Arabidopsis thaliana: one gene and its partners. The protein of the gene in region 1 binds, or shares a complex with, the protein of each later gene. Each region holds a gene or a part of one and is shown on either strand. Other genes may lie near its edges.

The links.
Region 2: WIT2 (region 1) and XI-I share a complex: the UniProt entries of both Arabidopsis thaliana proteins name them as parts of the LINC complex.
Region 3: WIT2 (region 1) and RANGAP2 share a complex: the UniProt entries of both Arabidopsis thaliana proteins name them as parts of the ran complex.

What each region holds. Positions count from the first base shown.
Region 1 is NC_003070.9:25,907,588-25,912,771, reverse strand, and holds WIT2 (WPP domain-interacting protein 2), read left to right. Parts: upstream 1-1,663; 5' UTR 1,664-1,729; intron 1,730-2,233; exon of another isoform or gene 2,234-2,279; 5' UTR 2,280-2,286; coding exon 2,287-2,764; intron 2,765-2,852; coding exon 2,853-3,964; intron 3,965-4,056; coding exon 4,057-4,203; coding exon of another isoform or gene 4,204-4,207; intron 4,208-4,391; coding exon 4,392-4,538; 3' UTR 4,539-4,641; downstream 4,642-5,184. Other genes in the region: AT1G68907 (Defensin-like (DEFL) family protein), read left to right, coding at 4,881-4,938, 5,032-5,184. UniProt on the Arabidopsis thaliana protein: Together with WIT1, required for the nuclear envelope docking of RANGAP proteins in root tips. Plays a role in nuclear shape determination.
Region 2 is NC_003075.7:16,011,927-16,016,969, reverse strand, and holds the start of XI-I (myosin), read left to right. Parts: upstream 1-2,000; 5' UTR 2,001-2,177; coding exon 2,178-2,321; intron 2,322-2,434; coding exon 2,435-2,581; intron 2,582-3,441; coding exon 3,442-3,587; intron 3,588-3,682; coding exon 3,683-3,839; intron 3,840-4,020; coding exon 4,021-4,079; intron 4,080-4,320; coding exon 4,321-4,477; intron 4,478-4,626; coding exon 4,627-4,776; intron 4,777-4,866; coding exon 4,867-5,003; intron 5,004-5,043. Other genes in the region: SLOMO (F-box family protein), read left to right, coding at 11-462, 559-622, 729-815, 913-999. UniProt on the Arabidopsis thaliana protein: Myosin heavy chain that is required for the cell cycle-regulated transport of various organelles and proteins for their segregation.
Region 3 is NC_003076.8:6,504,549-6,509,368, reverse strand, and holds RANGAP2 (RAN GTPase activating protein 2), read left to right. Parts: upstream 1-1,723; 5' UTR 1,724-1,841; intron 1,842-1,930; exon of another isoform or gene 1,931-1,937; 5' UTR 1,938-2,077; intron 2,078-2,394; 5' UTR 2,395-2,421; coding exon 2,422-4,059; 3' UTR 4,060-4,277; downstream 4,278-4,820. Other genes in the region: ARIA (ARM repeat protein interacting with ABF2), read left to right, coding at 1-89, 173-236, 318-397, 572-636, 756-873, 963-1,087, 1,175-1,274; AT5G19315 (Defensin-like (DEFL) family protein), read right to left, coding at 4,469-4,650, 4,771-4,820. UniProt on the Arabidopsis thaliana protein: GTPase activator for the nuclear Ras-related regulatory protein Ran, converting it to the putatively inactive GDP-bound state.

The DNA.
Region 1 (5,184 bases):
GAAAAATGATTAAAATAAAATAAAGGAAGAGTAGATGGACGGTCCGGTTAACGCAAAGATCGAGGTCATTATTAGTTGGCCTTGGGACTTGCAATTTCCAAAGACCTAAGAAATTAAACCTTATAATAATTGAATTCTCCAGCCCACACCTTCACTTTATCTTCTCTTTTTCTATTTTTTAATTCCCTAATTATTAACCATAGTTTAACTTTCTATATCATAGTTTAATCTCTTGCTGCATAATTAAACGTCAATATTGTTTATCTCCACTATGTAACTAGTCATTTTTTTACACATAAGAGCCATACAAGAGAGCTCGTAATTAGTTTTTACTAACTATACCACCCATTATCACCACATGTGTTATACTCTTTCCATTTCATAATGAAAAACTATTTTGGACTTTTAGGCATATATATAGTATTAAAATCTATGTTTGACGACAAGAAAATAGTATCAGTTTTTTAAGTAATTCACTAGTAGTATATCTTACATATAAAGAATGTCTAATTCAAACACTATATATGACAAACCTGATATAAAATATATTATCAGTAATATTATCAAATTGTATAACGCTTGGAACCATAAAAAAAAAAGGAACTAAATTTTAGTTTAACTATGCTCTAAAATGGTCAAGTTATCAACGACAACTAGGGAATAAAGAAATTTATTTTAGCAATAATTACCTTGACATGTCTTAATAATAATCATCTAATCTCGCATGCATAGATTCCTTACCTCGAATGTCTTAGCATGCACTATATAACAAGGCATGAACAACGTAACTAAATGTCCATATATATACTAAACAAACAATCTTATGATCTATGTATTTCAGTACATGATATCACACCAAGTTGCTCTATACGTAGTCACGGCCACTTAAGAGCCCAATCACAATCACCCTCGTCTCATCCTAGTGATCTTTCTGTCATATACTTAACACTTCACCATTATAACTGCTTTCAAAAACAGATCATTCACATTTTCACCACCATATAACTAAACCATCATAAACAAAGTAATCACATCATGTAGACTATCAATTTAACATCTCCTCTACATATCCACAATTACGTTGGTGTCAAGTCTCAAACATATGTTGACAGTGAAACAATTTATCTCTCTCATGTTTAGTCACTCACGGTCACGAAATTGAATTAGAGTGGATACATGTCATAAATTCAATAATATTATCATTACACACATGCTATTCTATAATAAATTGCATTAACTTTGGGAATTAAATTGTCCACTAACAAAAAAAAGATACATTAAATTTTTTGAATTTTTGAATAAAATTATAATCTTAAATGTGAGTGTATCATGTTATTATCTAGACGTTACAGACGAAATATAATTCTAAATCAGAATTTTTGAAAAAAAAACTTTTGAAATATTACATTAATTGCTAACTATATTACAGTTATATTTAGGCCTTTTTAGCTGTAACCAATAAGAGCAGCTTAAGCAGTCGTTCTTCTTCCTTACCAATAATTCAACGTCCACCACAACATAACACTCACGCTAACGTAAGCGAAAACGCTAGCATGCGCGGCTCTTTCTTTATCGTTGGATGACTTGTAAACAAATTCCGCGCATTTTAGCATCAATTTTTCTGACGCCAGAAAACACCGTACCATTCTTGAAAGGCAAAATTGGAGTTCGTTGACGGAGTAAAAGCTCTCTCTGTTTTTTCATCTACTCGAACTACAGATTTTCATCGGTAAAGTTTTGATCTTTTCAGATCCTCTTTGAATCTTCAACACTCTGTTTTGTCTGTTTCCAAGTTTTAGTTTTGTTCTTGTTGAATTTTGATATTTTTGTTCTGGTTTTATGGTAAAGTTTGAATCTCGTTGTAGTAAATTGTTAAATTAGTAAGAATTTCTGGTGGATCTCTTTGAAAATGCTGAGTCTTTACAAGTATGTAACATTAACTGACTTGGCTTATTGGTCTCTTTCTTGACAAGTGGATTCTTCTCAAATTTCACTTCTCTTTGCTTAGGTTTTGTTCAAAGTAAGGATTTGATTTAGTTGCACTTACTATAATGTGTTTTTGGGTACTTGGATTACATTTTCAATTATTTGCTTGGATGTTCTGGTTTCAGTTGATGAATGATTGGTTTCATATAGAAGAATTGAGCTATGACTAGTGCTAGGATTGGAACTGCGATACCTCGCATTAGAAAGATAGTGTCATTTCACCTAAGTATCCATTTTTTTGGATTAGTTTTTTTTTCTTGTTCCTAGCTAAGCTTTGAACTTTTGATTTTTAGGCCAAGAATGGAGGAAATCATTAGGGAGGACTATTTTGAAGCTTTGTCTAGTAGGAATGAGGAAGAGCAAGAGATGTTGAGGATGTTGACAAAACTAGAGATAGACTCAGCTTATACTAGTGAAAAGTTGATGAATCTGCATGTTCTTCTTATGCATCTTTTGGCATGGGATAATGATCTTGAAGGGATGGGGACACTTGATTCTTCTCCAGCATCCTTTGAAAAAGCTTTGACGTTTGATCTGTTATGCGGTATATTGGAGTCAGAAGTGAAGGAGGTGGACGAGGTTTTGGATGTGTTGGAAGCTCAAATAGTTGACACTTCTTACAAGATATCTTCTTGCAAACACGGAAATTATATTGTTATTGAAGGAAAGTTGGGTGAATCTGCAGAATCATTGAAGCAGTCTAGAGGACAAGTCTCAGAGATCACTTTGCAATTAGCTCAGCTCCGAAGAACACTTCATTACATAAGAAATGGAACAAGTAATCACTTTTGATATATGGTTGTTTTAAAGTTATTGCTGCTTTGGTTTTCTTAGCTTCTTGTTGTTATTGACAAAAATGTTGGCAGGTGAAAACGAGGAGTCAGTGGAGTTAAGGCAGAAATATGCGCTGAAACCATCGGACTTGAGGCATAAAAATGCTCTGAGGATGCTGGAGAAGTCATTGTCAAGAGAGCTAGAGCTTGAGAAGAAGTTAATGGAATTCCAGCAAAATGAGGAACAGTTGAAACTCAAGCTACACTACACAGAGGAGGTATCTTCTCGGATGGAAGAAGCATCAGAGTTTATATGGGGACGGTTTCTAGAGGCAGATAATTCTTCTGAGGTTCTTACAGGTATTTCAAAGGAACTTGTTGGTCGTCTACAGATTCTCCAGTTTAGTCTGAATGGGTCAGCACAACGGGAATCCGAACTTAAGTCTAAGCTTGAAGATTGCACTGTACAACTGGAAGCGAAAGATCTTCTGGTGCAAAAGCTTGAGGGAACAATTTCAGAAAATAGTGAAATAGTTTCAGAAGTACTCACTTTGAGGGAATATGTGAAGTCAGCTGAACAAAAGCTGAAAAATACCGACCTTGAGCTGAAAAGTGTCAACGCCTCCAAACAAGAAATCCTGGTACATCTAGCTGAAATGGAAAATGCAAATGAGTCGGTCAAAGAAAACCTTTTCGAGGCTGAAAGCAGAGCTGAGAGTGGAGAAGCTAAGATTAAAGAGCTAGATGCTGCAAATCTTGAACTTACTGAGGAACTAAATTTTCTCAAAGATGCGGATGATAAAAAGACGAAGAAGGTGAACTCTCTCGAGAAGCAAGTCAGGGAATTAGAAGTTCAAGTACAAAACTCCAAGGTATCATCAGAAGCAAATCAAGAACAGCAGAACATGTTGTATTCAGCAATATGGGACATGGAGACCTTAATAGAAGATCTCAAGTCTAAAGCCTCAAAAGCCGAGAGTAGAACGGAGACAGTGGAGGAGCAATGCATTGTGCTTTCTACCACAAACTCTGAACTCAACAAAGACGTGAGCTTTTTGAGGCAAAAAGCCAAATCCTTAGAAGCAATGTTGGATCTAGCTAACAATGAGAAAGAGAGATATGCACAAGAAATAACTACAAGGAACAAAGTTTTGATGGATATGATGTTGCAATTATCCAGTGAAAGGGAGCGTATACAAGAGCAGGTACTTTTTGGCTAAGTGCATTATTGTTTTCTTTAGGCCAGGGACACAAGAGCATAGCATTGTTGACACATTAATGTTTTTTCTTTCTCCAGCTATATTCTTTGGCAAAAGAAAACAAAATACTTAGAGTGAATCAGTGCTCAAATACATACCAAAGAAATGGATCTTATGCTGGGGACAAAGAGCTGTCGTTTCACGCAGATGGTCACGAAATAGAGGCACTTGCTGAAAGTCTGCAGGCAGGTATTCAGTTTATTTTCCACAAGAAAAACACGAAATTCCTTGTACTTTCTTGTGTATTAGTGTATAGCTTTGATGCTTCAGAATGGTCGATGGGGCAAATATAGATCATTGTTGGGTCATGGATGTGAAAACCAGACATCTCTTGGTTACTAATCTTATGTGGGTCTTTGCTTTCTTTGAACAGGAGGATGAGAGAACAAGGGAAGAACCAGAGAAGCAGTCTGTGTCTGAAAAGAGTAGCGAGATCAGAAGAGCAATCAAATTGAAACACATACTAGTTGTGGCCTTAGTTTTTGTGCTGTTTTGTTCATTCTTTGGTGTGACTTATTAAGGAAATATATCTTAGTGAAAATGTCTTGGCCATAGCATTCGCCATTTGTACATTGTGTTGTAAATACTCATTTATCTTGTATTTATTACAAGCAATGTATCTCAAGTGTTGGTTTATCTCCTCTACAAAAACAACACATTTCAATTATTAAGTGATTTCCTAAGATGGAGTGATCTCACCAGTTGGACTAAAAAAGAATCAGACTAAATTTGGTAAAACCTTCACACAAAAGATTTGTTGCCATTTAACTTCTTTCTCTATAAGAGAACAATCTGAATTCTCTGTTCATCACTTTTACAAAAAAAAAAGAAACAAGAAAAGATTTTGAGGTTACAATTAGTAATGGAGAAAACGTCTCTCAAGCTTGTCTTCTTGTTCTCCCTCACAGTCATAGCATTGTGTAATGCTTCCTCTATAAAAACTTCTTCTTTGTTATAAAATGTTTTGCTTTGGTTTTTGTTTTGAAGTTTTATTATGGTGTGTACTTGTGAAGGTTTGTCTTTGAGTGCCGCGAGAGAGATGGCGAAAGAAGAAGTGAATTGCATAGGCGGCCATTGTCCTGATGGAAAGAAGGACTGTAACTGCTTGCCTCTTATAGCACCAACAATGGACATATATGAGACCAATGAGTCTTGCCGCACAGATA
Region 2 (5,043 bases), on another chromosome or scaffold:
TATTGTTTAGGTACTCAAATTACAAGCCTGTAAGTATCTTACTGACTCATCATTGGAGCCTCTATACAAAGAAGGTGCTTTACCGGCACTTGAGGAGTTGGACCTGTCATATGGAACTCTCTGTCAGACTGCGATAGATGATCTACTTGCGTGCTGCACACACTTGACCCATTTGAGCTTGAACGGATGTGTAAACATGCATGACCTGGATTGGGGTTCAACCAGTGTACATCTTTTTGATTACTTTGGGGTCTACAGTTCTAGTGACAATACCCAGGAACCAGCTGAAACAGCCAATCGGTTACTGCAAAACCTAAACTGTGTGGGTTGCCCCAATATTAGAAAAGTGCTGATACCACCTGCAGCTCGCTTTTACCATTTATCAACACTGAACCTTTCGTTATCGGTCAATCTGAAGGAGGTTGATCTCACCTGTTCCAACCTGGTTTTACTTAATTTAAGGTTTGAGCTTTTGCATTTGCTAGATAACTTATATTCTTTATCTTCCATGAAATGAGTGGTCTTATTCTATTGCTAATTCCATTTCGAATTGTCTAGCAACTGTTGCTCTCTGGAAGTATTGAAGCTCGGCTGTCCAAGATTAGCTAGTCTCTTTCTTCAGGTATGTTTTTGCTCCGTAACTTTTACCACTAAACACACTTTGGTACCTTAAGCTTGGGTCTATATGTTACCACTAAACACACTTTGGTACCTTTTGTCTTTGGTAGTCTTGTAACATGGACGAAGCAGGAGTTGAAGCGGCTATATCAGGATGCAGCTCACTCGAGACATTGGATCTTCGTTTCTGTCCAAAGGTACTAACAATAAACGAGTGTTAACTTCGATATTGAAAACTTAGCAAGTAATCCATTTTTATGTAACAATTAAAACCTTGTCTTGGTGAATTAACAGATATCCTCGGTGAGCATGTCAAAGTTCCGAACAGTGTGCCCTAGTTTGAAACGCGTTTTCAGCAGTCCAAATCTCTTGCAAGATTAGGGTTTTGCGCCAAATGTTTGATTATATACAACTTTTTCTGCAGATTATAGAAATAATGTGTTGTGTGGTGTGGTGTTTGGGTTGTAAATGGCTCCAAGTCATAAGTTTCAGTAGTGCATATAGGCCTCTGGAGTTTGTACTGTGGCCTTCTTAGGATGCTTGTGTGATGACACAAACCTAAACAACATTAGTACTTTTTTTGTGTACGTGGTTGATGATATTGTTGCTACTGTTATATGTAGATCTTATATTTACCTTATCAATTTACCTTTTAAGCTTTGATCCACATTGACTCACATAACAAAGATAAAAATTAAATAAAACTTTTGGAATAAGTAGGGGGTAAGAAAAATTTAGTATATTTTTTGGAAACTAAAGTCTAAAATATGAATGAAGGAAGAAATCTGGAATGTAAATTTGGACTCATGCGTATTGGATGATAATAATTTGGACTTCTTCTTCCCCCAAACTCTTATTTGGACTCTCATCACCATATATGAAATTACAACAACAATAATCGACAACAAATTTTGGAATATTTTCTCTATAAAAGAGATCTAGTAATTATAATAAATATAAATAAACCTCACTAACTATCGTTTAAGAATGTTATATTCAAATATTGCCTTCTACATTTTTGACTTACTATTTTTAATTTGCTAAATTACTAAAAATAACAAGTTTTTAGCGTCAGTAAATTAACTACACAGTTTGTTTTACTAATGTGAAATCAATTTTGCGAGTAAGGATTAAACCCTATAAATGATTCGAATCAAAGATAATAAACTTGGCATTTACTCCGGAATGTGACGTAAATTTTTATCCCTAAAAACTTCTGTGTTTTTGTTTTGGATCTAGTCTTCTTTTGTTTTTTAATGCAAAATCCGAGAGGGCGGGAAGTAATTGTTGTTGTTGATGCTCTTTTTTTTTTTTGTTGCTTTTGGGAACTTTTTTGGGTAGCGGTTTAAGTAACTTTGAACCTTTAAAAAAAAAAAACTCCACAGTAGTAAAATTTCGCCCCTTCTCTCTCTATCTCCTTAGGGTTTCTCAATTCTTCTTCATTTTGAAATTTGAAAAATTCTCTGGCGCAACCTCACGGACTCTCTTTCTCTCTCTATGACTCTTGCTTCCCCCAATCTAATTCTCTAGGGTTTTCTCGTCGAGCTCTTCACGAGTTCATGAGAAATTGTCTTCCAATGGAATTGAATCTGCGCAAGGGCGACAAGGTTTGGGTCGAAGATAAGGATTTGGCTTGGATTGCTGCTGATGTCCTCGATTCTTTTGATAACAAACTCCATGTTGAAACTTCTACTGGGAAGAAGGTCTGATTAACCGTTATTTCTGCTGAATTAGCTCTGTTTCTTCTTCTTCCTCTTCTTCATGCTTTATTCATGCTAATTTTTGCTGTTGTGCGATTTTTTTTCTGGGGTTTTAGGTTTTTGTTTCCCCGGAAAAGCTATTTCGGAGGGATCCTGACGATGAAGAGCATAATGGAGTGGATGATATGACCAAACTGACATACTTGCACGAAGCTGGTGTTCTTTATAATCTACAGAGGAGATATGCTCTGAATGATATCTATGTGAGTTCTTTTCACTCTTTTTTTCTTTGGTATTGTTTATTGAGAGGTCTTTCTGAGTATATTTGGAGTTTGAATTTTTAGTTTCTATACTTCCGGGGGTACTTTATTGAGTCGGATTTCATTCCGTATGGAAGTTTACTCATTTTCGTAGTGGTATTAGTGTACTCACTGGCCGGAGTTTTCCTCTAGAACGAGTTACTGTTGCTTTTGGAGTTTCTTGTGTATTAATATGTGGTGTAAGACATGTTTCCATGTGAAGTGGATTCAGGTTCTTTATGATGGATGCATCTAGATGTGACCTGATATATTATTTAGCCGAAAAAGATAGATATCGAAGTGAAGAAATTTATTGTGACATAATGCATATATCATTACAGGCATTTACTTGCCTATTTGGTATCTAATCGCACTTCAAACATCTTGTGATCTAACCCTAACTATTGCTTTTTTCAATATTAACAATATTATTGGCGGGAGCGGGATAATCAACCTTGTGTATTCGTAACAACTTTTTGTTAGTTTGTTGGACTGCCCTGTGACTGTGAATTATTTGTAGGTTCAATATTCCTTCTAAAGTTATGGAGAGCTTCTGTTCCGTATTTAGTAGGTGAAAGTATCTATTTTTTAGACAGTTTTGTACTCAGCTGGCTTGCCCTTTTGTAAAACATTTGGTGGCAGCTTGGTGTCTAATTTATTTATGTCCCCATTGAGATGATAATATTTAGTTGGAAGTATTGGTGGTAATAATTCCTGTATCATTCTTTTTGCCACTCATAACTGTCAGCTTTTTACGCAGTTCCAATAGTAAATCATTCATGACTGCATTATCTTCTTACAAATACGTTCGACTTCTTTTTCAGACATACACTGGAAGCATTCTGATCGCTGTTAATCCATTCAAAAAGCTTCCACATCTCTACAATGGGCACATGATGGAACAGTACATGGGAGCACCATTCGGTGAGCTCAGTCCTCATGTTTTTGCAGTTTCTGATGTTGCATACAGGTGATCCACTCTTTTTTCTCTAATGTTTCTGATTTTTTAAAATCTTACTATCAGTCATGTTAATCTATTAACCATAGTTATTCTTTATAACCCAGAGCAATGATTGACGACAGTCGAAGTCAGTCAATACTTGTTAGCGGTGAAAGTGGAGCTGGAAAAACTGAGACAACCAAACTAATCATGCAGTATCTTACATTTGTTGGGGGACGTGCTACTGACGATGATAGAAGTGTTGAGCAGCAAGTCCTTGAAGTAAGATTTTGGTTATAAAATTTGTGTCTTCTATCTTGTTCAATGAGAAAAAAAGAACTGGATAGATGCCTTTGTTTTCCTCCCCTGGTATTTGTTTGCAGATAAATATTTAGGGGTGATCATGTTTGACTTTCTTTATTTGCGAGTTATCTATTCTAATTTAAGTATTCTTGTTCTGCAGTCAAATCCTCTCTTGGAAGCATTTGGCAATGCAAAAACAGTTAGAAATGATAATTCCAGGTGGGTTATTGATTTTTTTTTTTCTTTCTGTTTATTTTTTCAATGAAAATTGAGAGGTGTATCTTTAATTGCTCTTATGTCATTTGTCAACAAATTTTTCATGATAGTATCCTTAATACCCAGTGATAACAGCACTTTATGATGTTGATATGGTTTTAGTAAACCTTTTGGTTGAAATTTTGTGTGCCTAGCTTTTAGACGAATCTACTGACCAATCTACTGATCTTCTTTTGCTGTTCAGCCGTTTTGGAAAGTTTGTCGAAATCCAGTTTGACACAAATGGTAGAATATCTGGTGCCGCAATCAGAACCTATCTTCTGGAGAGATCACGTGTTGTCCGGATAACAGACCCCGAGAGGAATTATCATTGTTTTTATCAATTGTGCGCTTCGGGGAATGTAATTCTTTTTACAGCTCTATATACATGTCATAAGAGATTGGTTTTGGTTTTCTTATTATCTGATTGAGCTACGCCAGGTTTTTCTCGCTGAGTTTGTCAATTTACCTACGCTAATTACTAATCTGTAAATGTTCTTATTTTGCTTAGGACGCTGAGAAATATAAACTAAGCAACCCTCGTCAATTTCATTATCTAAATCAAAGCAAGACCTATGAATTAGAAGGAGTCAGCAGCGCAGAAGAGTATAAGAATACAAGGAGGGCAATGGATATTGTGGGCATAAGTCAGGATGAGCAGGTATAACGACTTCTAATTGAATTTTCATATGTTTTTCTTCTGCCAGCTTCTGAAATTCCTTGCTTGTTTCCTGCACAAATCATTTATCAGGAAGGGATATTTCGCACACTTGCTGCGATTCTACATCTTGGAAATGTTGAGTTTTCCTCAGGGAGAGAGCACGACTCTTCAGTGGTAAAGGATCCGGAATCTAGACATCATCTGCAGATGGCTGCTGATCTTTTCAAGTACATAAAATTTTCTGATAGTACTCATTTTTAATTATGC
Region 3 (4,820 bases), on another chromosome or scaffold:
TTGACGGTGCAGCAGCGTTGTACAAATTAGCAAATAAATCTATGGCACTTTCTCCAGTTGATGCTGCTCCTCCTTCTCCAACACAAAGGGTGAGTTTCCTTTCTGCTTCAGTTCTCCTATAGGTAACGGGTGGAAGTCTCAATGCAGTATTCTGTATGTCTTTTTGTGACAGGTTTATCTCGGAGAGCAATATGTAAATAATGCTACGCTGTCTGATGTAACCTTTCTAGTCGAAGGTAATCATATATAAATCCAGAAGTTGTGGAACTCTAGTTAGCTTCAAAGTCCATATGTAAAACAGAAAAATCATACTGCAGGAAGGACATTCTATGCACACAGAATTTGTCTGCTGGCATCCTCAGATGCATTTCGTGCAATGTTTGATGGTGGTTACAGAGTAAGTGAACTAAATATTTTGGTTTTTCGATAATGTTCTTGTGGGGTAAATGATATTTTGATGACAATGACGTATGGATGTATGCTGGTCTGCTATTTATCAAAGGAATACAATTATCTTTTGGGGAAATTAGACCTGAATTGTGTCACGGTTTGTGTTTCGTTTATATCACAGGAAAAAGACGCTAGAGATATTGAGATTCCAAATATCAAATGGGAGGTGTTTGAGTTAATGATGAGGTATGATGAATGAACCTCTGCATGCTTTTGATTGACTCACTCGAGATATTGAAATTTCGAAAAGTCTGTGAGAACTTTTCATATACACGTAATTGACTCCCTTGGATTATGATTTTCAGGTTTATATACACTGGATCTGTCGACATAACAAATGAGATATCAAAAGATCTTCTAAGAGCAGCGGATCAGTATCTCTTGGAGGGCCTGAAACGACTCTGTGAATACACAATTGCTCAGGTGAGCCAGAATTATATCACAATGTAAAGTGATGATGTGGTTTGCGTAGTACTTAACGAAATCTGACACGGTTACTTTGAATATGAAAGGATATTACGTTGGAAAGTATAGGAGACATGTACGAGCTATCAGAAGCATTCCATGCGATGTCGCTGAGGCAAGCTTGTATCATGTTCATCCTGGAGCATTTCGATAAACTGAGTTCAATGCCTTGGTAATATAAACAAGATGTCACTCTCTCTCTCCACTAAGATTTGTTTTATTGCTATTAGTCTGAAACAAAAGTGAATGGAAAATGCAGGCAGAACGAGCTGGTGCAGAGAACAATACCAGAGATAAGAGAGTACTTTTGTAGAGCCCTAACAAAGTCTACTACAAACCTGCAAAGCTTGAGGTTGTAGAATGCGGAAGAAGAAGACTGCACTTAACTAGAGGTAAGTAGACAAGGAATTATATAGAGAGAAAGAGAGAGAGAGATCAAGAGCCGCCATTAGAGGTCTTTATCGTCCTGTACTGGGTTGTCTTAGTTATTTGCTGTGCTTTTTGGTTCGTTTTGGTCATTTTGTATTGTATTAATTAATCTCCTCTGATCACAATCGGTCTTGAATGAAATCGCTACCCTTTGTATCCAAAAATACCATTGTGGTATAACTTCCACTATTCAATTCAAAATCCACTCTCCAACTATCCTCTCTGTTGAGAAAAGATACTTTGGGTAGGTTGTGACTAAGCGTAGCTGTAACGATTTGATATTGGTAGTGGTGACCAGTGAGTTCATGTCTGAATAATTAAGAGATGATTCAACACAGAACATAATATCCCATTTTTGTTTTACAAATAAAGAATCAATCGAAAGTATTACTGATGATTAGAGACTGTAACTTGTAAGTATTTTGTAGCACAAGCCACTGAAAATTACATTACACATAAAGGAGTTTTCTTTAACATGAAAGATTCAAAATTACCAGGTTGGTTCTAATTAATTACGTTTTCTTCCAAAGTGATTAATTACTCAAGTCACGATGAATTATTAACCTTTCTCTTTTTTTTTTTTTTTAAATTAGTCTATAGAGACTTTTGGTTCAACGAACGTAGGAGGGAGTTTTAAAGAGCTCCGGTGAAGGAGAAACCCTAAAAACACACTCGATTTTGCAGCCAGAGAGAGTCTCAGAGCTCCGAGATTCAGACAATCTTCATCGGTCCGGTACGCTTTTCATTTCCGTTTATTCTCATCGCAAACGGATAATTATTTGTCTGATCCGATTTTACCCTGTGATTAAGCACCGATGTTCCTTCCTCGTAGTTGGTGATTTAATGCTTCTTCTCGAAACTATCCACTTATAGGATCTCCGATCTTTACGAGATTACTCTCCTTAATCTCTGTTATTGATTTAGTCACAGCATTTTCTGATTTATCAATTAGTTATTCCTTTGGGCTCAATGTTAATCCTCCTAAGTGATTAGTGATTACGATAGAGCCTCCTCTGATTATTTCTAACTTTTGTGTGTATGTTTTTGCAGTGATATTAAAACTCTGGATTTGCGATAATGGCTGATATACTTGATTCTCGACCTCATGCATTTTCGATTAAACTCTGGCCACCGAGTTTACCTACAAGAAAAGCTCTCATTGAGCGTATAACCAACAATTTTTCTTCCAAGACTATTTTCACTGAGAAGTACGGTAGCTTAACCAAAGACCAGGCTACGGAGAACGCTAAGAGGATCGAAGATATTGCTTTTTCCACTGCTAACCAACAGTTTGAGAGGGAGCCTGATGGTGATGGTGGTTCAGCTGTACAGCTTTATGCCAAAGAATGCAGTAAGCTTATCTTAGAAGTTCTCAAGAAAGGACCTGTTGCTAAAGTTGCGGCAAGAGAATTGATTTCTGAGGATTCTGTGTCTCCCCGCGAAACTTTTTTCGATATTTCTAAAGGTAAACGGGCTTTCATTGAGGCTGAGGAAGCTGAGGAGCTTCTCAAACCTTTGAAGGAACCTGGCAATGCCTACACTAAGATATGCTTTAGTAATAGGAGTTTTGGCTTGGGAGCTGCTCGTGTCGCTGAGCCTATCTTGGCGTCTTTGAAAGATCAGCTTAAGGAAGTTGACTTGTCTGACTTTGTTGCTGGACGACCTGAGCTTGAAGCTCTTGAGGTTATGAATATATTTTCTGACGCACTGCAAGGTAGTATTCTCTCGTCTCTCAACTTATCAGATAATGCATTGGGTGAGAAGGGTGTTAGAGCGTTTGGGGCACTCTTAAAATCTCTGAGCTCTTTGGAAGAGCTGTATTTGATGAATGATGGTATCTCTAAGGAAGCTGCGCAAGCGGTCTCCGAGTTGATTCCTTCAACAGAGAATTTGAGGGTCCTTCATTTTCATAATAACATGACGGGAGATGAAGGGGCACTCGCTATTGCAGAGGTTGTCAAGCGTTCCCCACTGCTGGAGAATTTCCGTTGTTCTTCCACAAGAGTCGGCTCAAAAGGGGGAATCGCCTTGTCAGAAGCACTTGAGCATTGTACTCATATGGAGAAACTTGATCTGCGGGATAATATGTTTGGCACAGAAGCCGGAGTTTCTTTGAGCAAAACTCTTTCAAGCTTCAAACACATGACTGAGCTTTACTTGAGTTATCTAAATCTAGAGGATGAAGGTGCCATAGCCATAGTAAACGCTCTAAAGGAGTCTGCTTCGCCCATTGAAGTTCTAGAGATGGCAGGAAATGACATAACAGTTGAAGCTGCTTCAGCTATCGCAGCCTGTGTTGCAGCAAAACAAGATCTGAACAAGTTGAATTTGTCTGAGAATGAGCTGAAAGATGAGGGATGTGTCCAGATTGCAAATTGTATAGAAGAGGGTCACTCAAAACTGCAATACATCGATATGAGCACCAACTACATAAGAAGAGCCGGAGCACGAGCCTTGGCTCATGTTGTTGTGAAGAAAGAAGCTTTCAAGCTGTTGAACATTGACGGGAACATCATATCAGAAGAAGGCATTGAAGAATTGAAAGAGATATTCAAGAAATCCCCAGAGTTACTTGGAGCTTTGGATGAGAATGATCCTGATGGAGAAGAAGATGATGATGATGAGGAAGACGAAGAAGATGAAGAGAACGAAGGTAATGGGAATGGTGAGCTGGAATCGAAGCTGAAGAACCTTGAAGTTAATCAGGAAGATTAAGTCTGTGATGTTGGTACTTTTCAATGTTTTTGTTTGTTTTGTACCAGTATTATTACTCTAGCTGCTGCTACAAAGACCAAAACATATTTGAGACATTGGTGTTAGTTTTATTTTTGCCGATAGCTTATTGGTCCTTTTTGTTTAAACACGATTGTATCGCTATTCTGAGGTCATACCTATGAGCAAAACAATTTTATATTCTATTTGGTTTGGTACCGTTTTGGTTTAGATACGATTTTAAACAAATTTTGTTAACTTGAAAAGTTTAAACTAACGTGAAAGAAGTTTTCAGGAGTGACCATTTCACATACTAAAGATATAATCAACAGTGAAGACAAGATTTTGAGTTTAATACTAGTTAGAATAAGCAATCGAGGATTGCAAACGCAAGCATAAAAACATATTTTTTTTAACAGTAACAATGGCATTTTTTTGCTCCACCAGCAAAACGTTTGCAAAAACCGCCTTTCTTATTATCACATCCATCAAGACACCATTTGTTGCATCTCTTTCTGTCTTGGTATGTGTTGCAAGCTCCAAATTTCGCATGTGTGTTACAGCACAACGAACTTCCGGATCCTTCAACGACATCTATAACATGCAAACAACAATTTTTCATCTTTAAGATTCACGTAAAGATCAAACAAAAACTTTTTATATAATACATCTTTGTATCCCCAAAAATATCAAAATTTATGGTGAGAGACTAACCAATAGAGAACAAAAGAACAAGTAGCATAGCAAAAGACATTATTTTCATG